Rattus norvegicus: one gene and its partners. The protein of the gene in region 4 purifies or fractionates together with the protein of the main gene of each other region. This does not show direct contact. Links are inferred from orthologs where the notes say so. Each region holds a gene or a part of one and is shown on either strand. Other genes may lie near its edges. The genes, in order: Mier1, Dnmt1, Zfp644, Ehmt2 and Ctbp1.

Region 1 (3,515 bases), on a different chromosome or scaffold from region 4:
TGAGAGACCTGCCAAAAGGCGGCGGATAAACAGCAGTGGGAAAGAAAGTCCGGGTTCGTCTGAGTTTTTCCAGGAAGCAGTCTCACATGGGAAGTTTGAGGAACATGAAAACACAAATGACTAACTCTTAGGCCTATTTTACTTTCTTTGCAGTAAAGTCTGGTTTGACTACAATTTTCAGGGTTGGGGGGGTGACCTTTAGAAAGCTGATTTCCTTGAAGCAGTTGTTAACTCTTGAAATTGGAATTAGGTCCTAACTTTAAGAAATGGGATTCATAATTCTACTTTTTGCAAGTTCTTTTACTTCAAATTTTGAAGCCCTCTTTAAGGATATAAAAACATTGGTAAATTTGAATGACCCAAAGACTTAACTGCACCTTCTCCTTTGAGAAACAAGTCATATTTGACTAAAAGGTAATCTTTCCTTATTCTTTATGAGGAAGAAAAAAGTTTGTTTCTGTTCAACACCAATTTTTTTTATTATCTAGAAATGTCTTTACAACAGACATTTTTCTCTCCATACAAATTGAACATCGTCATTAAGGAAACCCTCATGAATCCTGAAGGTTATGCTAGCATGATTTTTATATGTAGAAGTTTAAAAATAAACCAAGTCAGGTTTGTATTTGTAAAATTGTTGACATCAATGATGTCTTTCCATATTCTTATCTGGGCTTAAGAAATACATTCTGTATTTTTCCAGATTCTTTGTAGCCTTTGAAAGATTTTTACAGTACATATGTCTTGACTGAGCTGTCCTTTCTTAATACAAAAAAAGCTTGTATAATTTTCTTAACTTGTACAGTTGGTAAACTTTTATGAGAGGAACTGATATTCTGAGTCTGTCAGCTTTCATTTTATTTTGCTAAGATTTTTCTAATGAATTTTTAAGTGTGTGTGTAGTTAACCAAGTCATGTTTCTTATCCAGGTGGTAAAAGCATTCATAAAGAATTATGTTATTTTCAAACTTCTACTTACTGACATAATTTGGGACTTCTAAATTTCAGCATGATACTCAGATTACAAGCTTGTTTGCATTTGCTATAATTTTATAAATTAATTGTGAAACAAAACAAAGACTTACTGTCAGCTTAAGTGTGTAGATGTATCGTGCTGAATAGAATCCTGTTCAGTTACTCTCATGTGCCCTACAAGATTTCTCATTGTTTCAGTCAACAGAAAGGGAAGGTCACGTGATGTTGCAATATTGCCACATCCAAGGAGTAACTGTTGACAGGTAGCAATATTCATTTTTATGAGAAAATAGTGGTTTTAAGAATTTTCAGATCTTTCCAGTTGTAATCCAGTTTGTCACATTTGATACTTTTTCCAAAATGAAACACATACAAAATAACCATTGTTCTGTGTGACTTTAAAAAGGGTTATTGCACTAGCCTTGTAAGAATGGATGCCATTTTATTGTTAGTGCAAAATTCTTCTTACAAAATGTAGTTTTATACAGCTGATAGACCAATCTATCTCTGGACTGTTTTTTAGTGAATGATGATTAACTACCTTTTCTCACACAGGCACATCCCCAAATGCTGCCTTCAGTTTGATCTCAGCCGTCAGTTCAAGAGCCACTGCTTTCAAAGACAGATCTGTGTCCTTTTAGTGGCTCAGTTGTCTGATGCAGGGTGGGTTAAGGTTTGCACTGAGAATGATCGCCCAGGCCTCTCCCTCATAGTATTCTTACATTTGTCCAGACTGCTTCCCTTCACAATGGGTACAAACTTTTCTTTCCCCAAATCAGTATTAGAAGCCACCTTGACAGCACATCATAATAATACGCATTTACTGTTTTCTGCAGAAATAGTCCAGTGAGTTGCCTTCAGGTGGAAGTGCTGAGAAGCACGAGAGGGTTTAGTTTGTTTTATTGAAAACATTAATTTATCCAGAATGGCAGTAGGTCAAGTACCTTTAGCAGATGGTCATAGCTTGTCTCCCTGCCCACCCCCACAGAGTCTCACTGTGTAGCCCAGGCTGGCCTGGAACTTAACAACCCTTCTACCTCAGCCCGCTAATGCTGAGATTGGAGGTGTTTCCCACCACACCCAGCAACAGTCTATTTTCTAAAGCAGGTTTTATTATATGAGTCCAGGCCATCCCAGCTCCTTGTCACAGGTGATCTTTAAGTGATGCTATGCTTTTTAATCATTACACTATGGAAGATGTCAGTCCGCCTTTTAAAGGATGCCTCTGCTCGACACGTTCTTGGACTTCTCGAAACTGTTGTAACAGGAACGTTTTAAGGAAATTCTCAGGCATGTTGGCAAATGTGCCAGGTGTATAAGTGTTCATAAATCTTTTCTTTTTAAAGTATGCATAATGAAACATTCCTCTAATACACAAGGCTCAGCTTTTCCCAACTATATTCTGTGTTTGTATAGGTATTTCACCCTTTGTTCAAAAAATGCAGCCACTGAAACTTAAGTCATTGCACTTTTAAACAGTTTGACAATATCATGAGTAATCTGCTTAAGATTTGGTGTATTTCCTAACTGTTGAACACTTAAGTAACTGAGATGAGAAAATAAGCATTCATGAGTAGGGATGTAGCTCAGTTGCTGGAATGCTTACCCAACATGCATGCAAAATGGGTTCCATCCCCAGTACCACAGGAACTGGGTATAGTGGTGCATGCCTGTCATCCTAAGCACTTGGGAGGTGGAGGCAGGAGAATCAGAAGTTCAAGGCCATCCTCATTACCTGGTGAGTTGAGGCCAGCCTGATATGCTGACTCAGATAGAAATGGCTCTGTTGGTAGTTATTAGGTCCTAGCCAAGCACTGTCATTTTCATCTGGAACATACAATGATGATGTATTTATGATGTATTCTCACTAAGGTTCACAATCTGTAACTCAGTTCAACACAGATCTCTTGAGCTTTAAAAGGTATTTGAAGTAATTTAAGTAGGCATTCAAAATTATGAATTAGATGTTTTTAAATTTCTGCATAATAATTTTGCACTGTAAAATATGTCCTTTCTCCCATTTCCTTCTGCCATTCTGATATGCTCATTAAAATATTTTTGTAAGCATACTCATGTGATGTGTGTGATGTCTAGTTGTTCACTGTGTTTTAGTCTCAGTGCTTAAACTCCATGCTGCTCGGAGCACACAGTGCAGGCTGTACTCTCCCTGTGCCTCCATGCCCGTGGACCGCGCAATGAAGTTTTGTCAGTGGTTCCTGGTTTAGTTACCCAACATTGGATTGTTTTCTGTCTGTCTTTTCTTAAACTTTTTAATAGACAGGGAGGTTTGGGTTGGGGGTTTTTGTTTTGTTCATTTGGACTCTCTGTTAATGTAGCTCTGACTGAACTGGAGCTCACTACATAGACCAGGCTGGCCACAAACTCAAGAGATCTGTCTATGCCTCCCAAATGGTGGGATTAAAGGTGTGCATCTGGTACACCTAGACATGTAGTCCAACTGGCTTTGATCTTCTGTTTTAAGTGATAGAGTTAAAGTGTATACCACCATATCTCTGAACTATATAATTAAAAATTACTAG
Region 2 (3,515 bases), on a different chromosome or scaffold from region 4:
GGGGAAGGCCCTCTGTAGATGACCTTGACCTTGCTGTGGATGTAGGAAAGTTGCATGTTTTCACACTCGCCTACAAGGAACAGCTCCAGAGGGTCAGAGGTGGCTCCGAGGACCGTGTCTGTCCCCGCGCAGAACCAGTGTGCATGGAACATCTGCCCGTTCTTGTCTTCCCACAGTGCTGTGACCCTGTAGCATAAGACGAGACAGGGAACAGACATCTCACGTAACCAGCACAACTTGGGTCTCATTCCGACACAGCTGGACATGAGGTGTTCAAGAGGAAGGTGGGCGCACACACCTGGCTAGATACAGTGGTTTGGAGGGATCATCCGGAATGACCGAGACGCAGTCGCCCACCTCCAGAGTCTCTTCGTCGATGCTCACCTTCCAATAGTAAGTTCTGTTCTCTTCGATCTGAAAGCAAGCAATGGAGCTCAGGTGACGGCCACATCCGATGGTCTCACTGGATTTAACCTGGGTGGCAGCTAACTTCCTATGAAAATCGCTTGGGACTAAGTATGTGGGTCAGCAGTGCAAATCTTACTTAACAGATACAGACTCTGGGTGCCATCCCTAGCAACCCTTAAAAAAAAACAAAAACAAAAAAAACTCCCACAAACATGACTTTTGATCTATTAAGTCATGAAGGATGGGATGGCTCAGTGGGTAAAGCTTGGCTCCAAGACAGATGACCCAAGGTTGATATCTGGGATGGAAGATGGAGAACAGTGACTTATGCAATCTGTGCTGACACACTTGTGCTGCAGCATCCTCAAGTAAATGTAATAATGATGCCAGGTGTAACACACGCAGCTCAGGGTTTACCATGAGGAATGAGGTACAGCTCAGGTACAGAGCTCTAGCCCAGCATGCCTGGGGCCCTGTGCTTCCCTCCCAGCGTCAGGAACAAGGGAGGGGAAGGGGACAGCAGCCGCCAGGCTCCTGGCTGCAGGGCACACCGGTATACAAGAGGAAGGAGTCACACCTTCACAGGCTCCCCGAGCCAGGAGATGCGATCCTTATTCTGTTTCTTCTTCTTCCCTTGGTGCAACTTTTTGGGTGACGGCAACTCTGGTATATCATCATCAGCTTCTTCGTCTTCATCTGCCTCCTTTACGGCCAAGTTAGGACACCTGCAGAACACACACTGCAGTCAACCCAGCGAAAAGCCAAGTCAGCTCCATACCACGTCCCTGCAGGACGCTACATGGCACACTTGCCTTAGCCACCCTGGCCCCTCTGTTATCTGAGCAGAGCATAGCACAGCCTACCTCCTCTTGAGGCAAGCCTGTTTACTCCGTCCGGTGCCACCAAACTTAACCATGTCTTTGCACGCCTTGCACTTCCCACACTCAGGCTGTTGACAGACCTGAAAATACCAAGAGTCGACCAATCAGCAGATTCTCAACTGGCAGCTTTCATTTTGTTTGGCTTTATTTGTTTTTGTTTTTGAGAAGAGTTCTTTACACAAAGCTCTGGCTGTCCTGGAACTCACTACGTAGACCAGGCTGGCCTTGAACTCAGATACTCCTGCTTCTGCAGCCGAATGCTTGAATTAAAGGTTTGTGCTACTATATCCAGGCCCAGGAACGTTTACTTATAACTTTCAAAGATATGCATGTTCAGGGCCAGTGGGGAAAGGCACTTGGTGCCGAGCCTTACAACCCAAGTTCAATACCCAAGACCCACAGAAAGGTGGGAAACCAACTCCGGGGTTTCTTCTGACCTTCATATGCACACTGTGGCCCCATGGAGACACTCTAATAAAAAATTATAATAAATAAATAATATATAATAAAAAAGTGTGAAACATACTGCATTTGTGCTGAACAGCTTTTTTTTTCCTTTTTTTTTTTTTTTTTTTTTCGGAGCTGGGGACCGAACCCAGGGCCTTGTGCTTGCTAGGCAAGCGCTCTACCACTGAGCTAAATCCCCAACCCCGCTGAACAGCTTCTTACCCTCCCCCCTGAGTGATACAGCATGGCAGCCACATGTGGCCTGAATCTGTGTCAGGTATCAAGTCAGCCAGCTGTTCACATACACATATGGCCTGAACCAGTACCAGTCAGTGGGGACAACCCCTAACAGACCGAGAGAACAAGGTAAACAAGGTAACCAAACAGGGCCACCAAGCACCCAGCTCCATTTAAACCACCACTGCCACCACAAAAACAAAAACAAAACAAAACAAAAAAGCTTTAAACAAATAATCAGATACAAGGACATTGAGAAAAGTCAAGGAATGGCAAGGACAGGGCATCATGAGAGAAAAGAACTTGCTACTGTGGGGTGTGGAATCCATCCAGGCTCCGTTGTACCCAGGGAAAGTCAGGACAGTACATTGTAAAAGATGACTTTCTCTGAAGAAAAAACCCCAGCAGCCCCCTGGATGCTAAGAGCAGCACATGTAGGAAGGCGTCTCCTCTCCCATTCGAAGGCCCAGGATACCCAAGTCCCTGTACAGTCTGAGACAAGATGAGCTGTAAGCAGCTGTCAGAACATGCTGACATCAGAGGTGCATGGCAGTGCACACCTGAGTGCCCAGTGCACACAAGGTAGGTAACACCAGCAGTTTCAGGTCAGCCTTGTACACATAGGTGCCTCAGAACATATGTGCATGTCTTAGGCTATGGTTCGGGATAAATTCATTCTCTAATTTTTCAAACATGACAGCCCAGGCTGACCTCAAACTCACTAGAACACTGAGAATGACCTTGAAATCCCGATCCTCCTGTCTCCACTTCTGAAGTGCCAGGATCACAGGCCTGTGCCTCCAGGTGTAGCTTAACCACATCTGAAGTTTGGGTTTGCTTGTTTAGTGTGATGTAGGTGGATTCCAGGCTACGTCTACAAAAAGGATTCACAATTCACAAGAGCCAGGCATGGTGGCACAGGTCTGGAAACCCAGCTCTTAGAAGTCACAGTGAGGCTTCCGTAGCCACAAGTCTAAGCTGAGAGAAAAGTGCTCATTCGGTTCTTCTCAGGGAACCCAGCTTCTGTAGTCACAGCGTCATCCAGACCAAAAGCCCCAGACACCGACTTCAACCCTCCCTCCATCTGCCTGTCTGGCCCTCAAGGCAGGCAGCTACCCCAGGGCATGAGCTGCTCTTCTTCACATCTAAGAGCAGCCAAGGACGGCCCACTCACCTCACAGACACCACACCGGCGGCGCTTCATGGTGTTCTCTTTGTCCTCCTTGTCATCCTTCTCGATCTGCTCCGAGAAGAAAGTGTCGAAGATCTGATAGACCAGCTTGGTGGTGGTGGCTTTTGTGGGCCCCTTGCGCTTCACTTTGGCAGAATTGATGACCGTGCGCCTTGTTGCTCGCCTGAGGGAGAGGACCACCATTTCAGGGACCCAGGCGCAGGGGACTGCCTCCTCTGGTCTCAAGCTCAAGCCTCCCACCCGAGTCTTGATACATCCTTACCTCTGTCCCAGCGAGACACCAGCCAAATGGATCAGGGACCTCATACAGGGAGACAAGAAGATGGGCGTCTCATCATCGTCCTTAGCGT
Region 3 (4,315 bases), on a different chromosome or scaffold from region 4:
AGGTCTGCTGGGCACGCAGAGCACTCTACAGACTCAGACTGGACAACTCAACAACACGCCACGTCTCTCCTGTGTGGCTGGTGCACTTAGCAAGCACGCCTTTTCCTCCCAGAGTCACTTTGTGAGAAGAGTCCAGACTGCTAATCCTACACAATAACGACGTGTTTGACATGATAGACCTTCCACCATTTTGTATCTCTCAAGCTTTTCTTCTTGCTACCCAAACTCTCCAAGAACTTGAACAAACTGAAAAACCTGGGAGGCAATTAAGGCATGCAGGTGACACTGACTTTATAATTACAAATAACCTCAAAGTAACCCTAATTAGCACAAGACTAAGTGTAATTAAATATACTCAGTGTTGAAACTGAACTAGCCTTTCGACTGAACTCTTAGAAAAAGAGACAGTAAATTAAAAGCACTTTAAATGACCCACACAAGCCTCACAACAAGCAGCACTGTGCACTCCACTGTGCCTGATCTCACCACTTGTTGCATTTCCTAAGACTTGTACTAGCAGCAGCTGGTCTTAAAAGTCACTTAAAGAGCCTGAGAGGCGTCAAAACGACATTACAGAGTGAGAGACACCAGCATGGCTCCTAACACCGATTACATCCCTTGGCCTTCTCTAGCAGTAACAGCGGTTATCTCCAACTCCCCACATTAGTTGTCAAGCACGGTTTTTGTTTTTAATTTTTGCTTTTCTGGGTCATGTCAGGGTTGGAAAGTTCTCAAAAATCCATACATAAGCAACACTACTACAAAATTACATAACATTAACTGTTTTGTCTCAGAAAGTCTCACTGAAGACGCTTTAATTAACGGGGATCATCAGTAATGTCCCATTACCAGGTGCTAACAAAACTATGACAAGGGCAGGAGCTAGCGACCGTGTCCCACCACATCACCAACTTAATACGTGGCTAAGGCAAGGCCTAGGAACAGTAGCTCTTTCAACGGTCTTCTGTAAAACTGTATGATCCAGGGAACACACCTGACTGTGAGCGTAGCTCCTGCCTGCTAATACAACACTGTTCTCTGTTTGAAAGGAAGCTAAGAAAGGGAAAATGCATCCCAGGAAAGAAACAAGTAAGCTAAAGTTTTAATGTTAAAAATTTCAAAGACCTAAAGGTATTTTACTATTCCTTCACGTACTTATATTGATGGCACACGCAAGGACCAACTCCTTTGGAATTCACACCAGTATTAGTTACTTCCAATACAACACATGATGCAAATACAGTATTAAAGTATTCAACAGCAACATGCAAACCACTTCGTTAGAACCAGTCAAGCACTCAGGTTTCACCAATCTAAAAGTCTACACTGAGTTATAACTTCACTGTAGAATCTACCTTTCTCTCTTACCAAACCTACCCGAGATAAGGCACAGCTGTATTGCTGACACCTAGTTCCCTGGATACTTACACATGGCCCTGAAGCACGTTTTCTCGATCTGGGTAACTTTATAGTTGCTTGAGTTCTGAAATACTTTCCTTCGTGGGGCCAAAATTAACTAAACTACAACACGATTAAGGCAAATCCAAGCACATGTCCCAGATGCAGTAAACTTGGCATCAGTTGGGGCTGGCCCCAACAGATGATAGTGTTTGGGGTACTTCTGTGGAAATTAACTTGTGCACAGAACAGGACCATCATCATTTCAGGGCCACAAGCCGTGGGTATCCCCTCGTTGAGTTTAATCACATAATATTTGAAATCTAATATGAAAGTTTTATAACTACATTTAAGTCAGTATTAAACAGTTGAAGAAAACTTTTCCACTAATGTCGCTAAACCATGGATGGATCCCAACACGAGAGTCGTCTGTGGAAGTCTCGAAACAAGAAACCACCTAAGTTTCCAATCACGGGGAAGGGTCTGGGGCAACTCATCTTCATGTTCTCGGGAGGAGTGGATGGAGCACACCTGCTTTCCTCTGGCAGAGATTAAGCTCCCAGGGACACAAAGGCCAGGGAATCAGACCTGGAGAGGCAAAAAGCTTTAGCTAGATACCCACCAAGCCCCTTGGCCACCCAAACACTTCGCGTGATTTTTTTCCTTTTTTTTTTTCCTTTTTTTTTTTTTTTCCTTTTTGTACCTCTTGGAGTTACTTCCCAGGCACTTAGCGGCACAAGATGTTGCAGACCAGTGGGAAGAAGGGGAAAGCTATGTGCTCTGGTCCCAAAGTCAGGGGAGGGGTGTGGACAGTTAGCCCCAGAGTCGGGGCTGCAGGCCAGGACGGAGCAGCCGCACACCGGGCGCCGGCTGACTGCTGTCGGGCCGCCCCGTTACTCGGAGCGTTACAATGGCGACCGCAAGGCTCCCCAGGACCTCCAGATCGCGGCTCCCTTCCCCCTACCGCTCACTGGCTGCTCCGCTACATGTGACTAAACAAAACCCCCCAAGTCCAGAGCCCGGCTCGGCCCCTTTGTGTCCGCCACCGGATCCTCCGCCGCCGGAGCGGAAAGGCCCCCCCGCCCGCCACCGAGTCCCGCCCCGCGGCGGCCGCCGCCGCTCACCTAAGGTTCCGCGGCCCCCCGCGACCGCCGCCTCCCGGACCCCGCGACCCGGGCTTCTTCTGCAGCAGCAACTCCGCCTCCTCGGCAACCGCCGCCATCTTAGCCTGTGCGGCAAAACGCGTCCTTTCGGAGGGTTGGGAGCCAGCCTAGGGCGTAGCTCCCCGGGCCCGAGCGCCGCGGGCCGGGTTCCCCCACAACTTCTTCCGCCACCCTCAGTCCCGCCACCGCCTCAGCCCGGACGTCCGAAATGCAGCCGGGGCCCGGGCTAATCCAACCAAAATAAGACCCCCGAAACTCACAGTTTGGTGCCGTGTGCGTCAAACCGGGGCGACGTTGGGAGCGCGCGGCGTCCCCGCGTCACACGCCGCTCTGTACGCTACTCGGCTCCAACGGCCCCCTCCGCTCCCCGCTTCTCGCCTCCGGCCTCGGTTCCCACGGCGCAGGCGCGCGGCTTTCCCGCCTCTGCCTGGCCGCCGGCCGCCGTGGGAGGCCAGCGAGGCGCGCCCGTGCGCTGGGGCAGCCGGAGCTCCCGTGCCAATCAGACCCACGGGGGGCGCGGCAGAAACAGCGCACCGCTGCTCTCCCGTGCCAAAACCAAACAAGGTCACCTCCCCCAGCGGTGACCTAACCACTCCCGAGGAGGTTCCCGCCCCAAAGTAGGCACGCTCCAAATATGGTGGCAACCAAACTCTGCAAGACCCAAGTACCAGGAATGCCTAGGCCCTTTAAGGTGGAATAGGCCCATCTCTGGTGTCTGCAATCGCTAGTTTGCCAAAATCCCGTTTCTTTTCCTACTGTTGAAAGAATCAGCAACATATATACCAGGCCTACCTTGGCGTACTGGCACAGACAGGTTTTCTGAGGTTAAACAGCATCAGGTGTAGAAACTCTCAGTCAAGACACCCAGAAAGAAGCCCTAGATTTGGGTTCTGAGGGCTCTGCGAGGGCAGTTTCTGCACTGAGGAACATGCCTTGATGGTCCAAATTGGAGTCATGCAAAGAGACGTCTGAAATGCTGGTTAACTCTTCAAGTAATCAATAGATTTCCCCAGAGGGTCTTCTAAATCCCCCTTTTAACAAGCGTTCAGCCATAGGCTTCTGAGGGAAATGGCGCACTAATTAGAGGTATTCGCTTTGCTTTTGAACCGAGTCAACAAGTTCCTAACCTGTTGAAGGTGAACTAAACGTTCTAGAATACTCTAATGGGCCTGCCTTACAAAATTCTTTGGTTTGACTGAACTTTTTTCCCATGAAGAACTTTAAAAGTTCCCACTAGTTAAGCAACAATCATGAACTGCGTACCTCCGTGCCCTTCAAGATATCATTAACATCCAGAGGGATAAGCCATAATTGCATTTATTTGACAAGAACGAGGGTGTCTTTCCTGGAAAATGGTGCCTTCGGCAGCAGCAAAAAAAAGATCCAAAAACCGGATATTTTACTATCCACTCTAATTATTTCACTCGCTGATAACTGCGGACACTGGAGTGCTTGCTGTCTGTGCATCCATCAGGCATTCTTGTAGCCTGTGTGTGCAAGTTCATTACGACCTAAAGTGGCGAAGAGAGATTAGACTGTTTTCTCACAACCGCACAACTGTTGGGCTGTTTCGAAATGTAAGCTTGCCTTCATACACACGAATAGATACACAACATATAAACTCGTGTCTATTTTCGGCCAACTGCTTGGGAGGGATGTACCATAGAGACTTTATTTTTATCTCATGAATATGGGTTTTGCTTGAACGTGTGGCTGGGCACCACGTGCTTCATGCCTGGTACAGTGGAGTCCAA
Region 4 (3,489 bases):
CCTCTGAGCTCATCCAGCGAGGACCCCGCTGAGCCTGGGTGGGGAGGGTGTGCATCTGTGGAATGCCCCATGCTCTGGCTTTGGCTGTTCCCAGAGGTGCCCCTCAGCTTCCGTTTTCTGGCCAGCAAGTCTGGGCCCTGATTCCATTCCTCCTTCCGTCCCTCAGGACAGTGGGGGCTGGACACCCATCATCTGGGCAGCCGAGCACAAGCACATCGACGTGATCCGTATGCTGCTGACCCGGGGCGCCGACGTCACCCTTACCGACAACGTGAGGGGCACTCAAGGGAGCTGGGGGGACTGGTGGGGAGCAGGGGGACCCCGATCCTGTCACCTGCAACCCGATCTCTGCCCCTCACCTCCACAGGAGGAAAACATCTGCCTGCACTGGGCTTCCTTCACGGGTAGTGCCGCTATTGCCGAGGTCCTCCTGAATGCCCAGTGCGACCTCCATGCTGTCAACTACCACGGGGACACGCCCCTGCACATAGCCGCCAGGGAGAGCTACCATGACTGCGTTCTGTAAGCCCCAGCTTCCGGACCCACCTCCCCACACCCCACTCCCGGCACCCACACCCCACTGTCCAGTCTCTGACTCAGGTTTTCTATCCCTCTCAGGTTGTTCCTGTCCCGTGGAGCCAACCCTGAGCTTCGGAACAAAGAAGGGGACACGGCGTGGGATCTGACCCCAGAGCGCTCCGATGTGTGGTTTGCACTGCAGCTCAATCGCAAGCTTAGGCTCGGGGTAGGGAACCGGGCTGTCCGCACCGAGAAGATCATCTGCCGGTGAGTGCAGCCCAGATGCCACAGCTCCTCCACGTCTTCAGTCTCAGGCCCCTTGCCAGACGCAGGACGTCCCAGTAGCTCCTACAATCATCTTGCCTCTAAGGGAGGTGGAAATAAGGGGCCCTCAGTGGGCAAGGGAACCTGCAACCAAGCCTGACAAACTGAGTGCAGTCCCTGGAGAGCCATGTTTTTCTCTGGCTTACGAACACACAGCATGGCACAGTCGCACACCTGAAAAAAGCTAAAGGCAGGGTGTGGTGGCCACCCCTGTAATCTCAGCACGCAGGAGGCAGACGGTTGGTTGTTTTGAACCTGAGGCCAGCTTGGTTTGTATGTATTAGTGAGTTCCAGGCCAAGGAGGGCCACATGGTGAGACCTTATCTTTCTTAAAATAAATGAAAAATAAATAAATATGTAAGAAAAATAAAGAAAAGGACATGTTTTCCAAGCCTTAGAGGTAGCTGAGGCAGGAGGATTGTGAGTTTGAGGCAGATACCCAAATAAGAGTTTCAGACAGGCTGGAGAGATGGCTCAGAGGCTAAGAACACTGACTGCTCTTCCAGAGGTCCTGAGTTCAATTCCCAGCAACCACATGGTGACTCACAGCCATCTGAAAGGGGATCTTCCGCCCTCTTCTGGCCTGCAGGTGTACATGCAGATAGAGCGCTCATAAACATAAGATAAATAAAGCTTTTTAAAAAAAAAAAAAAAAAGAATTTCAGACAGGAGCTGGGTGTCACCTGTGACCCCCTCCTATTCTGAAGGCTGGAGGAAGACCTGCCTCTTGAGCCCACGGGTTGGAGATCAGTATTTGTTATTATTGAGACTCAGACCTTAAAAAGGAAAATCAAACCAAACCAAAAAACCCCGCAAGGCTAGTGTGAGGCAACCCAACTACTGAATGTGCATTCTGAGTTCAAGCCAAGAACCCACCAGGAGAGAGCTGCCTCCTGAAGGTTGCCCTCTGACCTTAATTCCACACTGTATCCTGTGTGAGCGCGAAAGGTCCTCAAGCCAGGCGTGGTGGTTTAGACCTTTAATCCACTACTCTGGAGGGAGGCGAAGGCAGATCTCTGGGCTCTAGGGCTACACAGTGAGATGCTGTCTCAAGAAGGGAGCGGTTGGAGGCCACCAGGAATGTTCACTGTCTTTGAGGAGAGGTTTTTTTTTTTTTTTTTTTTTTTAAGACAGGGTTTCTCTGTGTAGCCCCGGCTGTCCTGGAAGTCACTCTGTAGACCAGGCTGGCCTTGAACTCACAGAGATCCCTGTGCCTCTGCCTCCCTAGTGCTGGGATTAAAAGGAGTGCATCACTCTGCCAGAAAGGACTGTGACCTCTAATGTTAGCACTGGGGAGGAGTAGCAGATGGATCTGAGTTCTAGGATAGCCAGAGCTACAGAATGAGAGTGTCTCAAAGAAAGGAAGGAAGAGGCAACACGTTAAAAAGTTAAAAAAGGGGGTCGGGGATTTAGCTCAGTGGTAGAGCACTTGCCTAGCAAGGGCAAGGCCCTGGGTTCGGTCCTCAGCTCCGGGGGGGGGGGGGGGGGGTAAAAAAGGGATCTGGAGAGATGGCTCAGCGGTTAAGAGCACTGGCTGCTCTTCCAGAGGTCCTGAGTTCAATTCCCAGCACCCACAGGGTGGCTCACAGCCATCTGTAACTTCAGATCCATGACCCAGAGGATCCATGCCTCCTTCTGACCTCTGCGGGCAGCAGGCGTGCATGTGGGGTGCATACAGAAGTGCAGGCAAAGTATTCTTAACACGTAAAATGAGAAAATGTTTTTTCAGGTGAGCAGGAATACTAGTGCGTCCTGTGCTAGCTGGGTGCTTGCAGTCTGTGTCAGTGCTACACTAAGGAAGCGGGAAGGCCATGGTCTCACTTTTAAGGCCAGCCAAGCGAGGCATTATACCAAGGCTCAGCCTCCAACTAAAATTTAAAAGTCCAGAGTCCAGCAGGGTGATGACATATACCTCTAATCCTAGCCACTTGGGAGCTAGGGCAGGAGAGTCAAGAGTCCAAGTCATTCTTGGCTATCTCGCTATTTGGGGCCAGCAGGCTATATGATGCTGTATCTCACAGAGGAATATAAGGGGCCGGGGCCGGGGCCGGGGCTGGAGTAGAGTGTTTATTGGCCTCACATGCACAATGTTGTTGGGCCTCACCAAGAAACAAAGATAACCTGTGCGATGTTGAGGACATAATTATTTCTAAGCTGAGATTGTTTCCCTGGTGTCTTAACTTCCCTTTTTTTGTTTTCAAGAATGTCTCACCGCATGCACTGGGATTAAAGGTGCCACCACCCCAGCACCCTTATACGGAGGAATCCTTGAGCTTCCCCTCAGGAATGCTCCGGCCCCTACCTAACTTTACTGCCCTTCTGTAGGGATGTAGCCCGAGGCTATGAGAATGTGCCCATTCCCTGTGTCAATGGCGTGGATGGGGAGCCATGCCCAGAGGACTATAAGTACATCTCCGAGAACTGTGAAACGTCCACCATGAACATCGACCGAAACATCACTCACCTGCAGGTGAGACACAGGCCCCACCGGGCTCGAGGGAGCAGGGGCTGAAGGAGCCTGATGTGGGAGTCCCTCCACACTGGGGCACATGAAGACTCCCCCTCTCGCTGGGACCGTCACCAGCCAGCGTCCTGAAACGAACCCATGCTCCAGGGGAGAGCCCTCTCACTCACACCACTCCTTCC
Region 5 (3,515 bases), on a different chromosome or scaffold from region 4:
TAACAGTAAGAGCTTCTGAGTAAGACAGACATGTAGACAACACCTAGAACCTCATGTCTGTTGGAAGAACACAAACTCAGGAAACTTGTCCCTTTCAGTAGGGCTGATGAACCTAGCAAGCTGTACCAGATGGCATACAGAGACTACAGCAAGGGAGGATTAGCTGGAAAAGGTACAGGGCTGTCTCAGGCAGAAATACAATGTATACTCCAGGAAAGAAACAGAGTATCTTTCAGTTATAACAGAGGATTTCGCAAATATCTGATAGAGAACAAGGAAGGGGAAGGCAGAAGACTGGGTGTGAAGGCCAACAGACATGGGAAATAGCTGGCACATCCATGTTACAGAAGCAAAACGTACACCCCACACTGCCTGTGTGTCCTCTCTCCTGAACAAGAATTAATCACCAAAGTCTACACTGAAGTCAGCCTCCACAGGTCGTAGAAAGGAAGAGCAGGAGGCAGCAGGGATACCTGGGGGCAAGTGGTCATCTCCCTTCCAGAGCGAGGCCACAGTATATGGAAGCCAGCCTCAGAATTGTTCTGTAGTTGGTAGCAATTACATGACTAGGGGGTCCCCAAGATAGAGGGTACAGCAACTCCCTTCTGAGCCCTTGCTGTGCTCTGAGGAGGCACAATTTACCATCCTCCCTTGTATATACTGTACACTCACACACAAGTATGTCCACATGCATCACCATGTCTGTGTCATCTACATCATTCACATGGAATACATGTCACCATCTATGGATCCTGAAACCTGGGGAGCTTTGACTACAGTGGTCAGCTTGACACAGCAGAGAAGACAGCAGTGTAGGCCAGAAGGTAGTCAGTGGCAGCCACGTGGCACACTGGGCAAAGTATCAAGTATCATTGCAAGGCAGGGTACCAAAAGGACACATGGCTGAGCCACTAACAGAGTAAGACCAAGCAGACTGGAGGGCAAGAACTTGACCACCAAAACCTGCCTAGTGACACCCCTGACCCTCACTCTACCCATGTTTATCTTTCTTCACCCTCAATGAGTCTCAGGGCTACAACCCTGAGGTAGGCGGTACTAACTCATCCTATACACTGGACAGGAAGGGTACATTCAGTGCCATGGAATACCAAACAGCCCTGCCGTGAGTGTCCACTGGGACAACAACTACATACCAAGTCTATCTCTTCAGTAGCTCAGGTGACCCACACACATTTCCCATCTACCGAAGCGGCAGCAGTGCTGAGGAAGGAGTACAGTGCAGCTAGGGTCAGCCAAGGGTAGGCTGTCTGGTGACAAGGGAGCCCTCAATGGTGAAACTCTGGCACAACTTATTGTGCCATTTCTATGGGACACATAACAAATGGGGACCAACAAAAAGCAAACAGCAGTGAGAGAGTGGGAACTGAGTACCACCTAAGTAGGACAGAAGTAGGCCCTGAGGTCATACCACTCAAGTCTTTGGAGCTGTGGGGTACACATGTACCAGGCCCACAGCCCCATGACACCAACAGTCAAAGGTGCTATAGCCAGAGCACACCCTCAAGGTGGTGCTTCAGTAATAACATGTCAGTTACAGCGTGTGTATGTAACTGTATACATATCTAAGCGTGTCCATGTGTATACCCTATCTGTTTCATCCACATATAATATACACACGTGCCCATGCATGAATGACCTCCATGGATGGCACCTGTGAAAGACATAGCCTAGTGTCTTCAGCCCTGCCCCTGGACTTTCTATCCTATGTCCTATCCTGAGCTGAGGATAGCAACACAACCAGAAAGTCCGGGGCCTCAACTTTATGAAGTGCAAGGGGGACAGACAGACAAAGGCTATTTGTGCTGAGTCACAGTGGCCAACGCACCTAGTCCAATGATGCCCAAGGTCTCTCCACGGATCCTGGCAGCTCCTGAAGCCACCTCTCGGATCTGCTCTACACTCTGGACCCGAGTGCCTTCCCGAAGTGCCTGGTGTAGCCAGGTAGTTCGTCGGTATAGGTTCAGAATGTGGCACAGGGTGGAGTCTGCTGTTTCTTCCACAGATGCTGCTGGTACATTGCACACTGCGATGCCTAGAATACACATGGAGACACATGTACCAGGCCCACAGCCTCCTGTCATCACAATCAGAGGTGCTGCAGTCAGAGCGCAACCTCAGGGTACTGCTTCAGCAGAAACACATCAGAAGACACATCCCACAGCCACCAGATAGGACTACCTGTCTCTATCATTGGGCATACTTAAACCTGGAGTCACAGCCTTGTACAACAAAGATGTGACAACCAACAAGCAAACAGACAGAGCAGGGACAGCTAAGTGCTTCTCTGACCATCCCTAGCCTGAATAGTCTGGATGTGCAGGTGACCAATCCCATCAGTACTCATTTCTTCCCCGCGTGGATCACTGGGCACTCAAAATTCCTAAGCAGCCATGGCCATACTGGCAAAGGGCCAGTGCCAAGGTGCATCTTGGGACTGGCCGGCCCCCACCTGTTGATACTACATGAATCACAACTTCCAGATCCCCAGAGCTTCCAAGGCCAGGAATGCCCTGACTTCAGAGCTCAGCAATGCCCACTGTCCTGGGAACAAGTCAGATGGGGCTTCTCTTTCCTAACCTCAGTGCCCCAATTATCCCAAGAGCCCAAGCTCAGGCACTGTAAGCTGACACAGTCTGTGCTGCCTTGGGCTGCCCATGGTCCTTGTCCTCAGAGGAGGATCCCACCATCCCACCATGAGCCCATCCTCTACAGTGGCCACAAGTCTACTTCCCACCTTGGCTGGATACTTCTGCCTGTGCTTCTCACTGAGGTGCTGGGACAGGACTGTTTTTGTAGAAACTATCTTAAGAATTAGAGGTACCTGACACAAGAGGAGCCAAGACAGGACCCACACATCCTCTAGAAACAACTCCCTTGAAATAAGCAAGGGAACATGGAGCAGTAGTAGGTAGCCTGGAGGCTCAGAAACAAAACTGACCCCTGAGAAGACATAAGGCAAACAAGACACAGCCCTTCCCGTATCTGGGCCACAGTGGCGGCACTTGGCCATCCCTAGCTCAAGAGTCGAGCCTGTGAGCTCTATAGAGGGAAATGGTGGGGCCTTGCTGAGGAAAGGCCGGCCAGCTTCTGGCCCCTGTGGCATGCCAGGCCAGCATGAACCAACAGAACAAGACGGACTTTCCCACCACACTACTCAAGTTCTCAGCTGCCCGTGGTTCCCCAGACAGCCTTAAGGAACAGAAGGCAGAATGATGTCAACAGCAGACACTGGAGACTGCAGCCTTGCTTTGTCAGTTGGCCACTAGCACAGAAACAGGCTAAAATGGCTAAGTATGGCCATACTGCTTCAGTAAAACTGCATACACAGATGCAGAGTCATGCATATGTGTACAATTTGAGCACACATGGCTTCATGTGTGTACAAGTATGACTATGGCACATAGTCCCTGTTCTGGGAAGAGGACAATGACCTCTCTGACTGGTCCCTTGTTTCAGCCTAAACCCTAGGCCTGGCCAGTTGGTGACAACACAGT

What was found.
Region 1: the proteins of Ehmt2 (region 4) and Mier1 purify together in Homo sapiens (co-immunoprecipitation; 3 studies listed by BioGRID and IntAct, with this or other methods). This does not show direct contact. The link is inferred for Rattus norvegicus from reciprocal best matches to the Homo sapiens genes EHMT2 and MIER1.
Region 2: the proteins of Ehmt2 (region 4) and Dnmt1 purify together in Homo sapiens (affinity purification with western blotting; 3 studies listed by BioGRID, with this or other methods). This does not show direct contact. The link is inferred for Rattus norvegicus from reciprocal best matches to the Homo sapiens genes EHMT2 and DNMT1.
Region 3: the proteins of Ehmt2 (region 4) and Zfp644 purify together in Homo sapiens (affinity purification with mass spectrometry; 3 studies listed by BioGRID and IntAct, with this or other methods). This does not show direct contact. The link is inferred for Rattus norvegicus from reciprocal best matches to the Homo sapiens genes EHMT2 and ZNF644.
Region 5: the proteins of Ehmt2 (region 4) and Ctbp1 purify together in Homo sapiens (affinity purification with mass spectrometry; 4 studies listed by BioGRID and IntAct, counting the BioPlex papers as one, with this or other methods). This does not show direct contact. The link is inferred for Rattus norvegicus from reciprocal best matches to the Homo sapiens genes EHMT2 and CTBP1.

Annotation. Positions count from the first base shown.
Region 1 is NC_086023.1:123,153,610-123,157,124, forward strand, and holds the end of Mier1 (mesoderm induction early response protein 1), read left to right. Parts: coding exon 1-124; 3' UTR 125-3,044; downstream 3,045-3,515. UniProt on the Homo sapiens protein: Transcriptional repressor regulating the expression of a number of genes including SP1 target genes. Probably functions through recruitment of HDAC1 a histone deacetylase involved in chromatin silencing.
Region 2 is NC_086026.1:27,728,334-27,731,848, forward strand, and holds part of Dnmt1 (DNA (cytosine-5)-methyltransferase 1), read right to left. Parts: coding exon 3,428-3,515; intron 3,329-3,427; coding exon 3,148-3,328; intron 1,370-3,147; coding exon 1,272-1,369; intron 1,134-1,271; coding exon 986-1,133; intron 415-985; coding exon 299-414; intron 187-298; coding exon 1-186. UniProt on the Homo sapiens protein: Methylates CpG residues. Preferentially methylates hemimethylated DNA. Associates with DNA replication sites in S phase maintaining the methylation pattern in the newly synthesized strand, that is essential for epigenetic inheritance.
Region 3 is NC_086032.1:3,248,684-3,252,998, reverse strand, and holds the start of Zfp644 (zinc finger protein 644), read right to left. Parts: upstream 2,816-4,315; 5' UTR 2,621-2,815; coding exon of another isoform or gene 2,523-2,620; exon of another isoform or gene 1,429-2,522; intron 1-1,428.
Region 4 is NC_086038.1:3,927,230-3,930,718, reverse strand, and holds part of Ehmt2 (histone-lysine N-methyltransferase EHMT2), read left to right. Parts: intron 1-166; coding exon 167-271; intron 272-367; coding exon 368-522; intron 523-618; coding exon 619-786; intron 787-3,168; coding exon 3,169-3,313; intron 3,314-3,489. UniProt on the Homo sapiens protein: Histone methyltransferase that specifically mono- and dimethylates 'Lys-9' of histone H3 (H3K9me1 and H3K9me2, respectively) in euchromatin.
Region 5 is NC_086032.1:81,693,589-81,697,103, reverse strand, and holds part of Ctbp1 (C-terminal-binding protein 1), read right to left. Parts: intron 2,054-3,515; coding exon 1,847-2,053; intron 1-1,846. UniProt on the Homo sapiens protein: Corepressor targeting diverse transcription regulators such as GLIS2 or BCL6. Has dehydrogenase activity. Involved in controlling the equilibrium between tubular and stacked structures in the Golgi complex.